2 linked regions of the Rhinolophus ferrumequinum genome follow. The protein of the gene in region 1 purifies or fractionates together with the protein of each later gene. This does not show direct contact. Links are inferred from orthologs where the notes say so. Each region holds a gene or a part of one and is shown in the gene's direction. Other genes may lie near its edges. The genes, in order: RAB11B and PI4KB.

Region 1 (7,427 bases):
TGTATACATATATATATATATAAATTCAACTAATATTTATCGAGCACGTGCTACATGGCAAACCCTGTACTAAGTGCTTGGAATACTCTAGTGAGAGAAAAGTCCCAAACTTACTGTTAAAGCCCCTGCCATTACAGATAGGGTGACCTATAATTGATTGTCCAGACTGAGACACTTAAGAGTGAAAGGGAGTGTACTGTTAATAGTTAAGCCATATGACAGTATAAAGCAGCTCCCAGGCATATGAGGACCGATTGACTTAGTTTTTAAAAGTGTAAACATAGCTCCACCACATACGAGAAACCAATATCACCTCCCATAAGCAGGTTAGTAAAACTAAAGTCAAAAATAAAACAATGCCAATGATTTCAAATACCAGCTAGAAAACTGATCTGTGATACGTAGTGGCTGCCCCTGGAAGGGTGGAGTGGGGATTGACTGGGAGGGGACATGATGGAAATTTCCTGAGTTACAGTGATATTCTGACCCTTAATAGAGGTGGATTATTCCGGTGTATGCCTCTGTCTCAGCAAGCATCCCCTTAAGATTTGTGCATTTCATTGTATGTAAATTTTATCTTCAAAGAAAAGAGACAAAGAGCCATAAACAAATACTGAAGTCTAGCTAACGAAATGCATGCTGAAGTGTTGAGGTGAAGACAACTGATGCCTTCAATTTTCTTTGTTTTATTTTTAATGTTTTCCAGCTTTATTACAATATAATTGATATTAACATTGTGTAAGTTTAAGGTTTACAATGCGTTGATTTGATACATTTATGTATTTTGAAATGATTACCACAGTAGCATTAGCTAACACGTCCACACATCACACAATGCCATTTATTTTTTGTGGTGTGAACATTTAAGATCTTTTTTAGCAACTCTTATTAACTCTAAACACTGTGCAATACATTAGATCCCCCAAATCTTTAACTTTCTCTGAAATGTATCAAAAAACAAGATGATGGATGGGTGGATAGAGAGGTAGATATGTGACAAAGCAAAATACTGGTGGGGATATGAGTACAGAGATATCCTCTGTACAGTTCTTTCCACTTTCTAAGTGTTTAAACATTTCACAGTAAATGGGTAAGAAAATTCTAGCCTGATTCTGTTGCCTACTGCAGGCTCTCAGTCTGCATCCCAGTTCTGTTTTAAAAGGGAGATGAGGGTTAGAAAATTGTTCAAGAGATATGAGCCAGAGAGAGTAAGCCTCTCTCCTGGAGAGATAATAAAGGATTTTAAGAATTGAGAAAAGGTAGGACTTTCTCGGTTTGTGGTTCAATGTGTAAGGCTTGCGGCAAGATAATGAGGCTCGTCAGGCAGGTTGAGGAAAGTGAGTTCTTTATTCTGCGCTCCCCGGCGAGGTTCACTGGTCCCGCAGACGGGGCGAAGTCGCGCCCAGGGTCGAGGGAGGGAGGCATATGTGCGGTTTTTGGGGTGGGGGTTGGCTGAGTGAGGTGGCAGATGAGCAGGCCCCCCCAGCACAGATCGGGCGCGAGCGGCTGTGTCCGGAGTTGCTTATCACACCAGCGGTCTGCTGAAACGCCAGGGGCCTCAGTGTCTGTCATGCGGGGAGGGGTCTGACTTGGCAGAGGGGCATGACTTGGCTCCTGGGGGCGGGTCTGACTTGACAGAGGGGTATTTTTGGCTCCTGGCCGCTTTGACCATGTCCATAGCTGACCTAACACAATGTTATTCAACGCACCATCTAAAATTATCTCCCATATCTTATAGCCTGGAATTATGTGATCTCTTGTGTCCAGGACACATGTTTGAGAAAAAGCTTCTGCCTGTGCCCTGAACCCAGCTGCTGTTTTAATAGGAGAATCTATCTTTCCACTATTCCTCTTAAGTGCTCCTTGGAGAAATAGTGGGAGCCTCTTTCCCTAGATAGGTGATCCATGACTCTTCCTGGAAGGTGCTGGCATCACTGTAGCTTCCCGGGGGCTCTGGTTGAGTATGGACGACGACATCCTCAGCCCATAGAGGGTCGACTATAGGCCAGATCCTCTCCAGGCTCCTTGTTGGGGGTGTCCTGTACCAGGCAGGCTTAGAAAGTCTCCCTTGAGCCCACTGGAACTATTGGGAAGCCCCATTGGAACTAGTGGGGAGTCCCACCCAGCTTTGCCCTCCTAATTCTCACGCTCTTGCAAGAGGGCTCATCTCTCTACCCTGTCCTTTCTCCGGCCATCACCATCTCTTTCAACCCAGCATTTTCTGTCCTTCCACTCCCAGGAACAACACAAAGAATAACCACCATGGTTGGGAACCAAACAAAAGCCAGGATGTGAATCCAGACCTGTCCAACTCCAGAGCTGGAGCTCTTAACCACATCTGTATCCTAGGTGACTAACGACAGGCCACTAAAGCTCTGTGGCTTCAGTTCCTGCCTCTGGAAAATAGGGATGGGGTTCTGTACCCGACCCTTACCCTGCCCCCCACCCATTCCTGTTCTCCTGGTGCTGTGAGGATTTCAAGATTTCATGGAACATGATGTGAAAAAGACTGAGAACAGTGTCTGGCTCACAGTGAGCACCCAATATAAACATTAGCCATCCTTACTAGGCCATCATGCTAGGGTGGGGCCGGAGGGGAGCGTGACCCAGATAGGAGAAAAGGCTTCATGAGGTCGACGTGGCTTGAGTATGGTTTACAAAGAAGGATGAAAATTCTACAAAAATGGGGGCGGTGAATGGTATTCCAGGAAGAGGACACTGAAAGCAAAAGCCTAGTGGCCTGGGTCCGAAGTGCAGCTCTGTCTGGGGAAGCAGTGCACTGACCACCTGGCTGCAGCATGGTTCTCAGGCAGCTGGGTGGTGAGTGGTGGTGGGGTAGGGAGGGGTTTGGCTTCAAGCCAACTGCCCAGGAGCCTGCTGATAAAGTTCTGAGGATCTGCCCTGGTTTGGTTCCCACAGCCTTGCCTTTTCACCTAATCTCGTGTCTGGGCCCTGGACGCCACTCTCCAGCCACCATGGATGGCCTCCTAGCTGTTGAGACCCATCAGGCTCTCCTCTCTCACTTGCTGTTTCCTCTGCCTGAAACGCTGTTACCACTAACTCCACACCGACCTGCGACTCAGAGCAAATGCCACCTCCTCCCGGATGCCTTCCCTGCCTTCCTAGCTAAGGAGCTCCACCATCACATAAACCAGGTTATTCCCCTCATTACATGCCTCCCGTTCTGAAATTATCTTGTGAGTGTTGTTTACTTGCTTCTTCCTCCTGACTCTACTGGACTGTCAGCTCCATGAGTGCTGGGATTTTGTCTTGTTCAATGGTGCATCCCCAGCACCTAGAGCGCTGTTAGTAGGTGCTTAGTAAATGCTTATTAAAGGAAGGATTAAAAGATTTTTAAACAGGGGAGGGAGACGATCTGACTCTCATGTTTTTTTTTATTATTATTATTAGTTTCAGGTGCTGACTCTCATGTTTTAAAAGACACCCTCTGACTGCTGGAGGTAGGCAAGCAACTGTACAGGTCCAGGCAGTGATGATGGGGCCAGGATCAGGATGGTGGCAGGGGAAGGGGAGAGAACTGGTCAGAAATTTAGGAGGAAGGAGAGATAGAAAATGGCAATTGAGAGAGGGGGTGGGAGGCAGGGACAAGGGAGTAAACGATGAAGAGGGAAAAGCACATGACCTGTGGCTTTGATGATGGGGTGGAGTCGGGATGAAGACAACAGGAAAAGGGGGAAGGAGGCCAAATTGGTGTCTGGGACGCCTGATGGACGTCCCAGGGATGAGGTCCAGGAGGCAATAATAATTATAATACAGTTATAATAACTAGCACATGAGCTGTATGCTTACGGTATCTATTTCATATCAAATATTTATTGAGCACTGAGGATGCAGCAGTGATTGTGCCCAAGTCCCTGCCCTCATGGGACTGATGATTCTGTTGACTTGGGACAGAAACTAAACAGATTAATGGACCAAGAAAGAAATACATACTTTAAAGTTAGGTAGTGATAAATCCTAGGGCAGTGTGTGTGTGTGTGTGTGCGCGTGTGTAATAAAACAGGGTAAGGGACAGAGAAGGGGAGATCATGTTGGACAAAGTCTGACGCTCAGTAAAATTTATAAATATTTATTACACAAAAACTTAATGACAGAAAATGGATGGTTGAGTTAGTACGTTTAGGTAAATGATCCATAGATATACTCAAAAATTTCAATGAGGTGTTTCTTTCCTGTTATACAGAAGAGGGAAACTGAGGCAGTGGGTTGACATAATGAGTCACTTACAAATGAATGAAAACTGCAACGGACAGAGGAGGACCTCTAGGTTGAAAAGACGCCGCGCAGAGGACCCCGGGAAACGGTCATTAATTATGGTGGGGGAGGGGGCCCAGAGCGGCACACATTGACCTATGACGTCATCGGGACGTTAAATAGCGTAACATCACCTGGACGTAGCTCCATTTCCCTTCCTGGACATGTCCTCCGTTAGTCGGGCCCGGTCTGAATCAAGCCTCTTATTGGCTATTCGCTCCGTCAATTTGTTTCATTCTTCCAGTCTTCCGCTTCCTGAGTCCGCTTCTGATAGGATGACGCGACCGTCACTTCAGAAAAGTCCGCATTCCTTCCGCCTTTCTCCAGGAGACCGAGGGCAAGGAGGGTGGATCCCAGTCTGCGCCCACCTCGGGGGCTCTGTTTCCGCCTCTGATTGGCTCTTCTGGGTGCCGGTCGCTACGCCACTCGCCGCTGATTGGCCACCTGGCAGCCGCTCTGCGCGGCACCGGCTCCGCCCCCGCAGGGTGTTTGTGGTGGGGTTGCGGAGTCGCCGATCCCGCCGGAAGCGCCAGGACAATGGGGACCCGGGACGACGAATACGACTACCTATTCAAAGGTAAGGCCGCTGGGGTACAGACGAGCGAGGGGGCGGCGGCGAGACGGCGAACAGGCGGGCCGTAGCTGCCCTCCAGGCCGCTGGGCCTCGGCCGGAGCCCGGAGCTTGGGGCCCGGCGGGTCAAGCAGCCGGGAAGACCGGGGCAGCCCGGGTTCGATCAGCTTTGTATGTTGGTGCGCCACTGTGCCGAGCGGGTGGCCCAAAGAGGCCTGAGGGCCCTGGATGCGCCGAGGCGGGGCCGGAGCCCAGAGGGGGTGGGTCCCAGAGCGCGGTGGGAGAGGCCGTTAGGGGCGGAGCCCTGGAGGGGGCGGGACCGCCTAGCGTTTGTCAGGCCGGGTTGGGTGGAAAACTCCATGGGGTGCGGGCGGGGCCCTTGGAGGCGGGGCTGAGGCGTGGTGGGCGTGTCCAAGAAGTGGGCTGGGCGTTTGGGGCGTTACTCTTCAGAGGGTGGGCGGGAGCAGACTTGATTGGTGACTGCGTCTGGGGGCGGAGCCCGGAAGGGAGGGGTGGATAATGTGTGTTGAGGTTTGTGGTGGAGGACACAGGGTGGGGTGCGGACCCGGGGTTCCATGGAGGGGCGCCTGGTGGAGGGGACTGTGTGTGCTGGACCCAGGTCTGGTCGTTACTGTTGTTCTATCTCTCACAGCTCTTAGAACTCTTAATAGCACTACCCAAAGTACCTGCACTTTTCTAAGTACTTTACACACCTGAATTCATTGAAATTCTCACCACAGCGCTGTGAGGTCAGTATTATTCAGTCTGGAAACGGGGGTCCAGGGAGACAAGAGAAGAACACAGTGAATAAGTGTTGGAGCAGGATTTGAACCCAGGCCAGCTGTGGGCTTTACCACTTAAGGAGTGTATCTGGGGGAGCTTGCACCCGGATCACGGAGTGGGCTGTCAGACCGCCTCCCCCAACATCTGCGCGCTGATGCCTCAGGTCTGGGCCAACCTGCTGGATGATTTTCCCTGCCGGAGGGACACAGGGCTCTGGGAGCCTCAAGTAAGGCCTAGGTAGGTCAGGCAGCCATTGCTGGCCTGGGGCCAGCGGGAGAGCTCCTTCACCCTGCCTCACAGCGAGGGAGACTCACCACATGTCACTGGAGTCCGTCTCTCAACTGGGCTGGTTTAAGGGTCACTGGCTTCACAGCACCTTCTGTGCCAAGCTGGACCTCTGCCAGGTCTTCTGCTGTCCGTGCTGGGTGACAGCGGCCGCCCTTGAGAGCTAACTCTTGGGCCCATGCAGGGTATGTTTGCTCTGTTGCCTGTTGTGTGAGGGTCTGCCTCCCACACCAGCTGTTGGCATCTTCCACTCGCTAGGGGATCCTGGCCATCCCTGGGAGTGCGTCTGTGTCTGGAGCTAGCCTCGGCTGACCATCAAGCATCTTGGGGCCTGGGGACTGGGGACGTTGGGGTTGTGGAGAGTGAGTGGAGCACTCCCTACCTGGGACATCCATGTGTTGAAAGGCTACTGGGCAAAGGGGGTGCCCATGCAAAAGCCCAGAGTCCTCGCACAGCACTGTGGGGTCTGGGAATGCCTGCGGGTTGACATGTCACTGGCAGAGAAGGCTGTGTGGTCAGCAGGCTTCAGGCCAAGGCTGTGGTGCTGACTGAGTCTTGTGGTGTCACCTTAGAAGCAGGGGAAGCTCTGTCAAGGCTTTTGGGACTGGTGACAGGTGGTTTGGACTCCAGTCCTGCTGCAGCTGGTGCCTGTCTCTACTCAGCTTGCCCTGAGGCAGCTGCTCCCAGGTCAGGGCTGGGCATCTGCCTGGCTGTGGCATTGCCAGGGCAGGGGGCATTCCCCCAGTTGCCCCCTGCAGGCTTCTGTGGCCATTCCTGCTTGTTATTTTCAACTGTGTGCTGTTATAAATAACCCAGCTCCAAATGTTTGCACTACTCATCTTTTACCCTTTGGGTTACTTCCTTGAAGTGTGTTCCCAGAAGTACCGTTACTGGGTCAGGGGCAGTGGAACAGCTGTGTACTTCCCAGGACTTGTCTCTAGTTCACTTCCTGGAAACACTAATCTGGCTTCTGGGACAACTGGCAAAGGGTGCCCGCCTGCCCTGCAGCTCTACCCCACTGGCCTCCCTTTCTGAGTCCAGCAGGTGCCCTGCTGACCTTCTCAAGCCGGGTTGCAAGTGAAAATCTAATCCACAAGGTCAGGGTTCCCCTAACTGGGATCCTCTGAGCCCTCCCCTTCATAGTTACACCTTGTCCGAGGACCCCCTTGTTATCCCGTAATGTTTGTCTTTATATTCACTCAGGTTTTCACTTCCTTAAATGGGAAAAATAAACTCTTATTTGACTTTGTATCGAAAGTCAAATATAAAAAGTCAGATAAAAGAAGGGAGGAAGGAAGCCGCTACCATCACCTCACTTGCCATAAATATGTCAGGTGGACAAAAACGTGACAGCTGCGCCCTTCTGGCCCCTCCCGAGACCCTGTGGCCTGCAGAGGGTCAGGCCCGGATGTCAGAGAGACGTCCAAGGCACAGCTGCACCGGAAGGGTTAACAAGGGCCAACTTTCTCCCCGGCCCTGCTGCCTGGTGTGGGGATCCCTTTAGGAGAAAAGG
Region 2 (8,165 bases), on another chromosome or scaffold:
GCACAATATGAGTTACGTTAGTAGTAAGCACAGAGCTGTGGGAGCCCAGAAGAGTAGCACATAGGTCAGACAGGAATGAGGGACAACTTCCCAGCAGAGATAAGGAGGCGTTAGCTGGATAAGTCTAACTCACAAAGCAAGAACAGAACAACGTAACAGTTCAATCTTGATCCTCATGTGTAAGAGCTGAGTGTAAATTCAGAGAGTTCAATTTGGGCAGCAAGAGGAGGGCATTCCAGGAAAAGCAGGGGTTTGAGGATGTGGGATGTATTGGTTTGGCAGTACAACCCCGTAGAGAGTCCTGTCCGACAGAAAGGATGTGTCCGACTACTAGTGAGAAATACACTAGAAGAAGAACACACACCATTATAATTATCTGTTGACTGAATGATGTGTGAAAGGTATAAAAATTGCATTAGAGGATGAAGGAACTGGAGTAAAGAGGAACCAGTCAGGCAGCTGTTGCCATTATTCATGTACCATGTTTTCCTGAAAATAAGACCTAACCGGAAAATAAGCCCTAGCATGATTTTTCAGGTTGACAGCCTCTGAACATAAGCCCTAATGCATCTTTTGGAGCAAAACTTAATATATACAAGACCCTTATTTTTGGGGAAACACGGTAGGAAGAGATGAGGGACTAGACCAGACAGCTGACACATTAGAGGTGATGGGCATATGGGAAAATAAACCACTGGTGATAGGATAGAAGCACCCAAGGAAGTACTGTCCTCACTGTGATGGGGTGATGGGGATGTTTCCATTCACTTTGGGAGAACGGCACTGGATGACTTTGAGATTTACGTGAATGTTATGGCGAATGTATGGCGTTTATGTGAATGTTATAGCCTATTTAAAAACTTACTCTATTTTTAAAATCTAACGTGAAACAAGTTATGCTGTAATTCAGGCAATCTTTAGCTCATTAGATGAAGGGCTAAACTAAGATTTTGGAGACGGTCTACTGCTCCTCTGCCATTCCTTATTCTGTCCCCAATACCCTGTTCCCCACTTCTATTACCTCCCCACCCCGTGTCATCTTCTTTTATTTTAGCCCTATCATAAATGAAGTTAAGCATAATTTATAATTTACTAAAATCTGAAATAATATTTTGCTATTAAACCAAGACAAACTATATGTCTAGTCTGTGGTCCCAAATAAATGAATTTATGGCTTATTTTTGTGGATAACAATCAACTTTCTTTAGAAATCAAAGCAAATGCCACATTCACATTAAATGGGCAAATTAATGTCACTATATATTTGTCTAAGTGTTTCATCTCATGTTACAGTTCCTAGTAGGTCTACTCCTTTGCCTAGGATATTCCTGCTGGCTCCATACAATGAGATAAAGCTAAGTATAATATACATGTAATGCAGTATTTCTTAAATGTTCACAAGGAGGCATTTGTTTACTGGAAAGAGCATGAATTTGGTGTCAGTCTTAGCTTGACCACTTTCCATATGATTTTGAACATTTATTTAGTCCAGTTTTTTTTCAAACTGTAGATTGCAACCCATTAGTAGGTTGTGAAACTGATTTAGCTATTGAAAACTATTGAAAACTATTTTTAAAACTATTTTTAAAAAGTGAGATGGAATAGAAAATACCAGTGCTTTGCATATAGTAAGGGTAAGTATTGTTTCATGAAACTTATCTCAGTGAAGACATGTCTATGTGTTCTTCAGTGGTCATGATATAAAAGGTATTTCTTATGGGTTGAAGTAAAAAAATTTTGAAAGACAATGTCTTAACTATTCTGAGCTCAGTTTCCATAAAATGTGATAAAATCTCTTTCACAGGGTTAAATGAAGTAATGTTTGTACAAGGTGTGATCAAACAATCTGGTGAATGTTTAAATTAAAAAAAATTCATTATAGTAAAAGACACATTGCCATTAATTCTCCTCAAAACATTCCCCCTCGCCTCGAACACACTTATCGCATTGTTCTTGCCACTTTCTGAAGCAGTTCTGGAAGTCCTCTTTTGTGAGTGTCTTTAGTTGCACTGTCGTGGCTGCCTCAATGTCCTGAATCATTTTGACATTGGGGAAGAGCCAGAAGTTGTACAGTAACAGATCTGGTGAATAAGGTGGATGAGGACACATCGTAATGTTTTTGACAGAAATTGCCAAACCAGAAGTGATGTGTGACACGGAGCATTGTCATGATGGAGGATGATTTATGGCACACTATACAACACACCTTCTCTCAACTGTAGCTCACACCCGACTGACTGCACCGAACAAGTTGAAACTTGTCACTCACTGTTACTAAGGTTCCACACACCGCTTCCCGTATTGAAGATCCCTGCCTTTCCGTTGGATGGCACTGGGCAGCAGCATTCATCGTATTTTGTTATCACAACGGAAAGGCTCCGTGTCACACATTGCTTTGGTACAGCAATTTCTGTCAAATAAAAACATTGCGGTGTGTCCTCATTCACCTTATTCACCAGATCTGGCACCATGTGACTTCTGGCTCTTCCCCAAAGTCAAAATGACCATGAAAAGTAAATGTTTTGAATCGATTCAGGACATCGAGGCAGCCACGGTAGCACAACAATACACTCATGAAAAAGGACTTCCAGAATTGCTTCAGAAAGTGGCAAGAATGATGGGATGTGTGTGTTTGAAGCAAGGAGAAGTATTTTGAGGGGCATTAATGGCAATGGATCTTTCACTATCAAAATTTTTTAAAATATAAACACTCACTGTATTTTTTGATCACACCTCATATTCATACACAGTAGGAGCTTGAGTAATAACTGCTAGCTTCTTTTTTTCTAATAAAAAAAAACCCATGGGAAAAAAATCATTTTTTATAATTTCTTTAACCACAGGGATGTTTAAAATATAACTGGAGCCGTATTCTGACTTGGGTCCTCTAGTTTTACGAGCTTTTGATGCATAAGCCAACTTCTTTCTCCAATTTGATGAAATGTAAATAAGATAAATGACATTACCTGACCCTGTTGGTACTTTCCTGGTGCTATATCAACAAAATAAACTTTGACCTGTGGCAGAAACTAAAGGTACAGTTAAAATACAAAGATGAATCCTTTCTTGCCTTGAGGAGATCAGAATAGAGGGCCTGGGAGACTCGTAGAAACAGAGAGTAACCAAAACACAAAAGTTAAGTCAGAAAGACAAAAGTCATAAAGACATACAAAGAAATTCACACATATGAACTCTTAGAGCTAGAAACACAACACTTGAAAGAAACTCTTCTACTTAATACTCTATGTATGGGAGGGGGGTCTCTGTTAACAAAGGACTTATAACTGCCTATAGCTATAAGAAGTTGCTATTTAAAGTTTGACCAGAGATGTTCCTGAAATGTTTTTGTTTTTTCTTTTTTTTGTCATTGGAAAATAAACTTCCTACTATAAAAAGCAGGGCTGTCACATCCCTTTTTACAATGTTTCAAAAAGCTGGTCTTATGGCCCTTTGGAACCCTACCCCTGGAGAGGATGTATGAGTGACATTTTTAAACTAGGCTAAAGCAGGGCCATCACCTCTTGATACTTGCCTGACAGCTGATTGGGAGGTGGCCAAGAGCTGCTGGTCCTGACAGGTGGACTGGTGACTCCCCACTCCAGATGGGTGGTGACAAATTTAAACTATCTTTGGCACTCTTGGCCTCTTTCTCAGCTCATCTTTCATTACTGTACTCCTGCTTTAACCTAGCTTATCAGCTTGCCCTCTCCTCTTGATTTGAGCAAATTCCCATTTCTACTCTTCAGCATACAGTTTTTAAGCCTCTCCTCTTTTTATTTTGTTCTGCTGGATCATATCCAATAAATCTCCTAAGACCTAGCTCACAATATTTTTGAGAAGCCTTTCATTCACTCATTCGCCATATACTGAGTGGCTGGGCCTTCTGGATTAAATAACCATACTCCTCTATGTTCCTTCAGCAATTAGGTACCCTATTTGTTTTACTTTTGCACATATGACGTGTTTTACACAGCTATTTTCATACTATTACCTTTATTCTGCCTCCCAATGAAACTGAAGCAGTTACCCTCTTTTCATCATCTATATTATTGTCTCAATAATAGTAATATAGTACTATACATAGTACTAATCTGTATTTTAATCCTCCCAAAACCCTGTAAAGTGTTAAGATTCCCGGGCCCACTTTTCAGACATAGAAACTTAGGTGCAAAGAAGTGAAATCAGTCACCCCAAATCAGCCTCAGGGAAGGTGGCATCCAAGATCTGGGCTCAAATAACTAACCTCAATGTAAAATATTAAATAAAGCCCTGCGAAGGTTGGGACAGAGGTTACATTAGGACAGAGGTTCTGACTGACAGAGCTCCCAATCAATAATGCGAACTGGCAAATACACAAACCAGCACCAGAGGTCCATTTGCAGGGTGCGTTTTTATTTGTTTAATTGTACGTGATGTCGTTTGGAAGGAAGGGTTGTGCCGTCCAGGCTTTTATCATTTCACTCACTTCTCCCTACCTGGCCCGGTCCTGCCCCTCCCTGGAGGGATCGAAATCCAAAGGCTGGAGGCCAAAGGCTGCCCAGACAGGTGGTGACCTCTGAGGCAGAACCGCGGCCTCGAGTCGCACCGCTAACGGCGAAAGATTGACGTGGTTGGACCGCGCCATTCCCGAAGCGATAAGGGACGTAATCACGGCATCGTCCTTTAAGTGAATAGGAAAAGGGTAGTGAGGGTGACTATCTTCCCCGCCCACCCTCTCTCTTCCTCCTCTCCCCGCTGGGCCCCCAACGTCCATTCTACGGCCTGATAAATTACTAAGGGAGTCGTGTGGAATAGGGGTGCGGGGGAAAGCCACTGACTGCAATTGCGGTAACTCTGTAGGTAACTCAAACGGACTTATTTACATATAATTTGCATGTACTTATAGAAGTACCCTATATATCCGTACTTCTAACAGGGCACCCACGCCCACCTACCGCACTCTGTTCGAGGACGGGAGCCCTAGCCCCTTATCCAGCAAATTTCACTTCCCTTTCGGCTTCCTTAGCCTCGCAAACTCTCTTAGGCCCGCCTCCCAAACATTGGCCCCGCCTCTCACACGTAGGATCCTCCCCTCGTACGCCACTCCCTCCCCAGTTTCCAACCATCTTCCCCGCCCCCTTTTCTATTTCTGAACAGGCATGTTCCGGGCAGCTCACCCGCCTCCTTAGATTACTATGGGCTCGGCAGGGTCCTGAGCGTCGGAGGAGCACGAAAGCATATCCCAAGAAGAAGGGCTTGGACTCAGAAGAATCGAGCCCTGCTGGGGATTTATATTTTTCTTTCTTTCTTTTTTTTTTTTTTTTGGTCGTGGTTGTGCGGAGAGAGGAAGAGAAGGCTGTGCGGCCCGGTCGAACTTGAGACAGCGCGAAGGCCCCTTCAGGCGCTGCCGAGGGCAGCCCCGCAGCCGGGGCCTGGTGCAGCCGCCGCGGCCGCTGTCAGGGAAGCGCAGGCGGCCAATGGAACCCGGGAGCGGCCGCTGCTGCTGAGGCGGCGGTGTCGGCAGCCCGACCCCGACCGCCCGCACCCCCTCCGCGGAGGTCCCCCGGAGGTAAGCGACTCCTACCCCGGGAGTCCCCCTCGTGTGGGTCCCTCTCCCACCGTGTCCCGCACGGCTCCCCCCCGCCCCCACACCTGGATTCGACTACAAAACTGCCCTCCCGGTGGCAGCTGCACCCCGGGTCCTTCTCCACCGTGTCCATTCAAGCCTGGGGTCCTCCTGTGCCTTTTGGCTTCCTCTTCTGTTTAGCTCCTCCCTCTGCCCCGGGGATTCCCCCCTCCCTCACTCTTATCCCTGCTGCCTCCGTCCCGAATTATTTTTCCTTAAGTCACGAACTCTTTGCACATCAGGACACCTCTTAGAATGTCCATTCTTGGTTGTCCTTCCTCGTCGTCGGTGCTCCTGCCCCAAACCTTTCCCATGACCTCCGCCTTTACCCCTTTTCCTATTTTGCCCCTTTCTTCCAGTGTCTCTGCAGCCTCCGCGCAGAGTTCCCATTTCCCTGAGCTAAAGACTGGGGCCCTCTCTTCCTCTGCTGCTTCGGATTCCATGACCTCACCGCCCCCCACCAAGCTCCTCACTTCCAAGAATTGCCTATTCCCCTCTCCTTAAAGGATCTCAGCGTCATTCCCAACGTATCCTTCGCATTCTACTTTGACTTTCATCCTTGCTCCTCTTCTCTGGAGTTCTTTATGACCCCTGGAACTTGCTTTGGCTTCCCTTTATCCCTCCCTAATCCCCCGACCTCTGGAGGTTTGTCCCTATAGAAGTGAGAAGATACAACAGCACCCCTTCCCGTTCAGCACTTCCAACTTTGACACTTTCTCCGTCGAGTTTCGAGAACTTTGCTGATCCATGGGACACTGGGTTCTGTTTTCCCCGTGGTCTGTCTGTATTCTTTCTGTCACACTCTTTTATCTCCATGTACAACTCATTTCAGGATCAGCTAAACCTTGAACTAAGAAGAAAATGTGTTGGGAGGACGGGGAGCCTAGCTGTGTCATTCAGGCTTTCCTGGACAGAAGAGTGTTTCTGAAGGATGGAGCAGGTTTTGAAGAAGTCCCCGATCAGATTACACTTTGTTGTCTACTCAGAATCAGTCACTAGTGGAGGGGAAATGTCCTGCATGGAAACTAAGTGAGGTTGTGAGAAATTTCCTTTTGGATTATGTAATGTTAGGCTTGTCTTAAAGGGGTCACAGAATAGAGGGTCCTCCCACCTCTGGCCAGATGCAAGAGGAATCAGCTTACTAGAATGGTTTTGGTTGATTCCCTGAGAGCTTAGGGCTGGGGTGGGGTTGGGGGGTGGGTCACTGGAAAAAGGATCAGGAAACAAGGGAAAGAGCTTGTACATTCAGAATCAGGACTCCTGGGTCCAACGTGTGACTTGCACGCTTGACCTCTACAGTGACCTTTTTGGGAAAATGGTCCACTCTCTAGGCATCAGTGCAATAATTGGCTAATAGCAGGGTGTGGGGTGGGGGTAAAATTAGACTGTTTGTTTGTTTACAACACACTCTGGGTTTCTCAGACGAAAAGTATTTATTAGTGGTGGTTTAGTTATCCTGAGAATTCTCCTTCGTTCTGGTCCCTCTGTTGGGTCATTCTAGTCTATAGCCATGGGCGTAAGTCAGTTTGAAAGACAAGCTCCAGGCCTGCTTCTTTCTTCCCACTGCCTTAAGGTGCTGTTCCGTTCCTCTTGCACTTGACCCATAACTCCAGATTCCATAGGTGGAAGTATGTTTGTGGGCAAGCCCTTTGAGGAAGCTGGCTGGAAAAGAGAACTCTGGAGTGAGATGGGACTTAGGAAACCAGTTGCTCCCTCGTACGCCGTGTCTGTCTCTCGGCCTGCGCTGGCGAAGAGGGCGTGTGAAGTTCCATTCATCATCTGACTCGGGGCCTGTTTGAAAGTAATCCCACTGCCTCATCTCACTTGCCCTTCCTAGTTGGCCAGAGCGTAGTCTACTCAGAACCCCCCTTTTTAGGAGCAGCTTCGCTCCTTGGAAGCACCCCCAAAGAGAAATCATATTTCCCTAGTTCCCCCGCTGCCTTCTCAGAGCTGGGTCCACACCACAGGAGAACATGTTTGCTGGACACTATCCAAAGCAGCGAATTGAGATTCTTTGATTTGGGGAGGAAGTCTGGAAGAAATCTTTCCGTACCTGGCAGGGGACAAGAGAGGGCCTAGTCCAAGTGCATTTGGGGCTTGCAGTAGGGAGGAACAGTTCAGACAGAGGTGAGCCGACAGGTTGCTTTGTCATCTGTCTGTTTCAGCAGAGGCTCCCAGAGCTGGCTTGGGCTGTCTGGCTGGAATCTGCTTATACCAGCTCGATGGCCTTGCACAGAGAATTCTCAGCCTAATTCAATATTGACTTAACTATCCTGAGACCACTGCCCTCCCTACCCTCCTGCTGGTAGTTGAGAATGCCCTCTCTCCTGGTGTCAACCCCCCTTGGTGCTTTGGGTACAATTACCTGGTTCCCGGCAGGGCCTGAGCCTGCTTGACTGCTTGGCCCTGTGTTTCTCCAAGAAAAAAGTGGTACTCAATCTCCATCGTCACCACTGAGGTCGAGGGGGAAAGATGAGCGAGGTTGGAGATAGACTTTGGGACTTGAGGAGGGACCTGCTCAACAACTGAACAGGCAGCCTCGGGTGACGGGGGGAGTCTC

Evidence for each region.
Region 2: the proteins of RAB11B (region 1) and PI4KB purify together in Homo sapiens (co-immunoprecipitation; 3 studies listed by BioGRID and IntAct, with this or other methods). This does not show direct contact. The link is inferred for Rhinolophus ferrumequinum from reciprocal best matches to the Homo sapiens genes RAB11B and PI4KB.

What each region holds. Positions count from the first base shown.
Region 1 is NC_046301.1:57,209,915-57,217,341, forward strand, and holds the start of RAB11B (ras-related protein Rab-11B), read left to right. Parts: upstream 1-4,217; 5' UTR 4,218-4,812; coding exon 4,813-4,852; intron 4,853-7,427. UniProt on the Homo sapiens protein: The small GTPases Rab are key regulators of intracellular membrane trafficking, from the formation of transport vesicles to their fusion with membranes.
Region 2 is NC_046305.1:51,330,216-51,338,380, reverse strand, and holds the start of PI4KB (phosphatidylinositol 4-kinase beta), read left to right. Parts: upstream 1-5,108; 5' UTR 5,109-5,548; intron 5,549-8,165. UniProt on the Homo sapiens protein: Phosphorylates phosphatidylinositol (PI) in the first committed step in the production of the second messenger inositol-1,4,5,-trisphosphate (PIP). May regulate Golgi disintegration/reorganization during mitosis, possibly via its phosphorylation.